Kluyveromyces lactis: one gene and its partner. The protein of the gene in region 2 purifies or fractionates together with the protein of the main gene of each other region. This does not show direct contact. Links are inferred from orthologs where the notes say so. Each region holds a gene or a part of one and is shown on either strand. Other genes may lie near its edges. The genes, in order: MGR2 and TIM21.

Region 1 (2,586 bases), on a different chromosome or scaffold from region 2:
TGTGCTTCGTTCAATGCAGCTAGTTCGCTTTCCAACTGGTGCACTTTATGCGTATATTCGAGTTCTTTTTCCTCGTAATCTAATTTCCACCATACATAATGACAAGAAAGATATACGATAGAACCCATTAGTAGAAAGATCCATGCTGGCCTAACAAACTTCTTGAGAGAAGTCTCCTGTGTCTTCTGTTCTTCTGCCTGTAACTGTTTCAACATCTGTAGTTCGTTCTTAATATTAAGCTCGTTAGTCTTGTCATTGATTAACTTACTAATTAACTTAGGATCCACGTTATCGAGTGATTGAAGCTTGGCAAGATCTTCTAGAGTCCTGATCTCTATATGGGCATTACTGTTATTAGCAGCCGCTAGAAAACGGCGAGTTACGACTCTTTTCACCAACGGTCTGAACATTATTGTTCTACTATCTATGTCAACTTCTTCCAAATAGAAAAAACGGTACGAATATACCAAAGTGTGTGTTTACACCGTTCACTAACTGCAATGGAAACAAATTCTGAAGCTCGCAGTATGCCTTTGTGATCCCTACGTGTGTACTGTAATCTCCCCAGGTTCTTTACTTCATCAGCTCCTCTCGAAAAATTGATCATCTTAAATTCCTATTTACAATATTCATTTTACTTAAAAATATACCGAGAGGACAGAAATAGAGTAGATACGAAAAGATTAGTAGGTACCGCTGCCTCTGACCCATGTACAATTGCTGGGTAAAAACGCTTAATCCTTGTACAAACCATAAGTTTGTTTAGCTTTCCATACTTCAAATCTTGATCTCTGTTGCAATTCGGCCATCTTACTATGGTAGAAACCATTGTTGTGGGAGTTGTCGGAAGTTCCATCACTTCTAATGACAGAACCGATACTCATAAATAGGCCAAAAGTGGCAGCAGAACCAGCGATGTACTGCCCTAAGGTTCTCACAAACCCGTTTGGACCTGGGCCTTGTGTAACAATGGCAACACCACCGAATAAGATGCCAGTACAAACACCAACGGTAGTACCCATCATCAAACCCATCTTGAACTTTTCCCAGTTCGAAGGTTGTTGTTGTTGGCCGTAAACTTTTGGTGGTGGTGGCATTTCTGGTTCAAGTCGTGGTTCGTGTTATCTGTGCGCGCGTTAGTCTTGGATGTCTGGAAAGAGAGCGAGACCCTGGTTAATTCCGTTACGTTTTGTGGAGTTGGTCGTTCATACATTTGGTACAGTAATTTGATTCTTTTTTCTAGTTTGAAAACTTCGAAAATTTCGATTCGAGTCCGATTTGATGTGACTTTGAAGTTCAGACGAGAAAACTGCCTAAAGGTCAGTCTTGGACAGCGCCATTGGCCGTAGTAGGTTGTTAAAGCTTTATCTTTTTTAATATATACTAACAGTTGATCTTTCTGCTTTGAAAGCTTCGAAGTTGCAATGATATTTGGGAGGTTGCTTGTGAGAAATTTGGCAACGAAATGCGATGTATTGCAGGTTCTTCGAGAGAGAGGGTTGGTTCAGCAGGTTTCACAGCCGGAGAAGTTATTGTCTGAGAAACTGAGTAATGGTGATAAGATCAAACTATATTGTGGAGCAGATCCCACTGCGAAATCTTTGCATTTGGGTAATTTACTGCCCTTAATGGTTCTTTTGAACTTTTATGTGAGAGGGCATGACGTCGTTTCGTTAATTGGTGGGGCCACCGGCAAAGTTGGTGACCCAAGTGGGAGGAAAACTGAGAGGGATGTTATCGCTGAAGCAAAGAGACAAGGGAACATTGAAAGGATTGTGGAACAGTACAAGACATTTTTCACGAATGGATTGAAATACTACGAGTCTAGGATTAAGGAAAGAGATGCACCAGGTAAGGTCACCTATCTAAACAATATTTCGTGGTGGCAGGATGTTAAGATGTTAGATTTCCTTGCTACTTACGGTAAACATATTCGTATACAGAACATGTTGAGTCGTGATTCCGTTTCTTCGAGATTGCAAAGTCAAGATGGTATTGGTTTCAACGAATTCACGTATCAGATCTTACAAGCATACGATTTCTACCATTTGTACTCAAATGAACAAGTGTCCATCCAAGTTGGTGGTAACGATCAATGGGGTAATATTACAGCGGGTATCGATCTTATCAACAGAATTTCTCCCCAGCATGTGAAGACTCGTCCAGCTTTTGGTTTAACGGTGCCCTTATTGACGACCTCCACTGGAGAAAAATTCGGTAAATCGGCGGGTAATGCAGTATTCATTGACCCTGAAATCAATACCTCCTATGATATGTATCAGTTCTTCGTGAATACTACTGATGCAGATGTGGCAAAGCAATTGAAGATCTTTACTCTGTTACCGTTGGAATTAATTGAAGACATCATGGCTCAACACGCACTATCGCCAAATGAAAGATACGCTCAAAAAAGGTTAGCTAAAGAAGTTGTGGATCTGATTCATGGAATTGGTAAAGGTGACGATGCAGAGTTTGTATCGCGAATTTTATTTGGTGGTTCAGGTTTTGAAAACGTTAAGGCAGCTGAACTGATCAGAGTCTTCGATGAGAATAGAATTTTGAACAAGATACCGATCAATACGCCAT
Region 2 (2,926 bases):
GATGCCATAGGGCGTAAACAAGTTTCAGGCTGGAAGGGACTATGCAGTGCCGCAGAACTGAGGCCAAAGGGCACTGTCGTGGATAGGAAGGAGGCCAGGCTCGCGAATGGGGCAAGAGTGCCAAGGAGGGGTACTGGAGGTGGGTGCAGGGATGAGACTAGGCTGGGAACCCCTATCTGGCAAGAGAAACAACCAGTGTCAATGGAAAATGCATAGGCGGCCAGGCAGGGCTCACTAGTAAGCCTAAGATATAAGGTTTTCATGATAGAGTTCCTATGTAGGAAGTATAAATTTCGATTTTTTCATTTTCTGAAAAACATATATAAATTCGAGATGTACGGATGCAAACAGTCACAGGATGGAGCCTCATATTGAAATTCCTACCCAAAGAGATTCTCTGATCATACAATTTGAAGGAAAGAACAGCAGTATATAGTAGTTGTTAACAATTGCTAATAAATATTAGCCTCCATTGGTTGAGTTTGTACAAAAAAAAATGTAGGCATTGGGCCTGAACACCATTGATGGTTCAAGTATTATAAAGGAATTTGAATGAATCGGCACGTAGTATGAATTCAAATTTTGAACAAAAATCAGAGGAGCCCCTCCCGGGACTCGAACCCGGATCACATCCACCGGAAAAATGTATGCTAACCATTGCACTAAAGGGGCTGTAAAAAGCACTTATTTGCTTTTGTTCACTAACTCTGTATACCATGAGGATTGATTAATTTCAAATAGTATATTTATGTAAAATAAACGGTTTCCTGTTTGCATGCCATTAACTTGCTTCTACCATTATCCGTAATAACAACATTTCTCCCGTTGTTTTGTTTTACCTGCACTTTTAAGACCGATCACCATTTTCCATTACCAGAGTTGATAGTTATCATCAATTTCGAAACACCTACTGTACTTAAATTCAATAAAACGTAGCCATTATCACTCTTTCTGCACCAATTCATTCACCTTCTTCCACATAAGTATAAATTTATTGCAAATCTACCCAATATCTGTGGCTCAAGATGTAGCCACCAAAACGTCTTCCTACAGCTATTTACATAAACATCTGAATATGTTCATTTAAGGGAATGATCCCATTTACCCTGAGGATGTTATGACGACCTGTTGAACTGAGGCGATATCTCCGCAGCAATAGATTAAACAATTTAGGTCTCGGTGACACCTACAGGTTCATGCAATTCTTACGAATTTCGTCTTATGTTAATTCCCTCTGTCCTTACTCCGGTATATAGTATTCCAAAGGAAACACCGTCCTTGTCAAATTTAGAGAATTAAATTCTTAGGCTAAAAACTCAAAACTTCTTAAAACATAAGTAGTGTAATAAGGCAAAAGAGATTCTTTCGTCAACAGAAGACATTGAGTCAGAGGGCTGCTAACAAAGGCAATAATGTTCTGTCAGTTCATATCACGTCCAGCCCAGTCTTTGAGTGGAAAATTCTCATCCAAGACACTCTGTTTGCCTTTAATTGCATCTCCAGTCAGAATAAAACATACAGTTCAAGGATATTCTACGTTCAATGCTCAACAGAATGCAGGCAACAAGCAACAAAAAAAGAAGATACCACTATGGCCGCGAATTAGGGCTTTTACGACTTTTACCTTTTCCGGAATACTGGTCATCGGGGCCACTGGTTTAGCTGGAGTTGTCATCTATTTGATTGGAGCAGAGCTATTCTCTCCTTCGGGGGATACTCAAATCTTCAATCGTGCCGTTAGCAAAGTAGAAAATGATGAAGTCGCCAGAAGATTATTGAAATGCAACGATACGGAAACGTCTACAGAGAGATTAAAAGCGTACGGAGAAATTTTAACTGATGATCGTTGGACAAGAAATAGACCAATCTCATCGACAAGAAGAATTGACAAGGAGGGCAAGGAACATTATCTCATGAGGTTCCATGTAGAATCCAAGCAGAAAATGGGGATCGTTCATGTGGAAGCCAAAGAATCCGATGTAAATTACCAACCTGATTTCGTTTCAATGTACCTTGATATTCCTGGAGAAAAACGTCATTATTTGATTAAGCCCAAACTTTCCATTGTCAAACCAAAAGGATTCTTGGGAGTTAATTGGGGCCCCAAAAGAGACTAAACTGTAATGAATCACACCAATGGTATATCAAATCCTTTCATTTTTGATACGAACACTTTTGCATTCTTTTATTTTGTTGTTCACCCGCCATATATATATTCCATAATTCTAATGAAACAATTGACGCCTATTCTCCTCAGTGCAATATTGACTGTTAATATGGTACTTTAAGAAAACTTAAACAAGATGCGGGGTTGCCATGCTGCTCCGCCAAAAAATAGTAAACGAAGAACTTATTTCATGTCTATCTAAACAAAGTGCATTTGATTTATTTATAAAAAGAACGTGTATGTCATAGCTGTCAAAAGAAGCAGGATGGAACATATTTTTTGCGAATTACCAAGATTACTGATATCTTGATCATTGGTTGGAACTTTAATTGATTTTTTTGTGTTAACAGAATCTTGAACCGATTTGATTAAGGCTTGACACTGGGTTTTTGTATTGTAGCTTTTGAAGTTAAAATAAATGTCCTCATTGGCTAACGGACACGTACTTCCACCTTTGCCAGATGCATAATATAGTTTACTCAACTGTAAGCTAAGTTTCTGTCTTGCATTACAATCGGCAAACTCTCCGTATTCTCCTTCTGCTCCATTATTGCTAATGTCTGAGCAGTCAATTTGAGCACAAACATAATCAAAGTATGACTTATAAGACTTTGATTCCTTGAATGGGGAAGAAAGACACGGCAACAGCTCTTCCAAACATTTGCACTTATCAAAGTCAGGCTCCGGGGGAAGGTCCAGAGATGCTTTCCATAGTTTACTTTTTTGTGGACACTTACGTGCTGCTGGTTTTTCAGACTC

What was found.
Region 1: the proteins of TIM21 (region 2) and MGR2 purify together in Saccharomyces cerevisiae (affinity purification with western blotting; 3 studies listed by BioGRID, with this or other methods). This does not show direct contact. The link is inferred for Kluyveromyces lactis from reciprocal best matches to the Saccharomyces cerevisiae genes TIM21 and MGR2.

Annotation. Positions count from the first base shown.
Region 1 is NC_006041.1:2,160,823-2,163,408, reverse strand, and holds MGR2 (Mgr2p), read right to left. Parts: upstream 1,098-2,586; coding exon 735-1,097; downstream 1-734. Other genes in the region: INA17 (Ina17p), read right to left, coding at 1-410; tyrosine--tRNA ligase MSY1, read left to right, coding at 1,425-2,586. UniProt on the Saccharomyces cerevisiae protein: Required for cell viability in cells lacking mitochondrial DNA.
Region 2 is NC_006038.1:517,744-520,669, forward strand, and holds TIM21 (Tim21p), read left to right. Parts: upstream 1-1,412; coding exon 1,413-2,117; downstream 2,118-2,926. Other genes in the region: GAS2 (1,3-beta-glucanosyltransferase), read right to left, coding at 2,390-2,926. UniProt on the Saccharomyces cerevisiae protein: Essential component of the TIM23 complex, a complex that mediates the translocation of transit peptide-containing proteins across the mitochondrial inner membrane. Required to keep the TOM and the TIM23 complexes in close contact.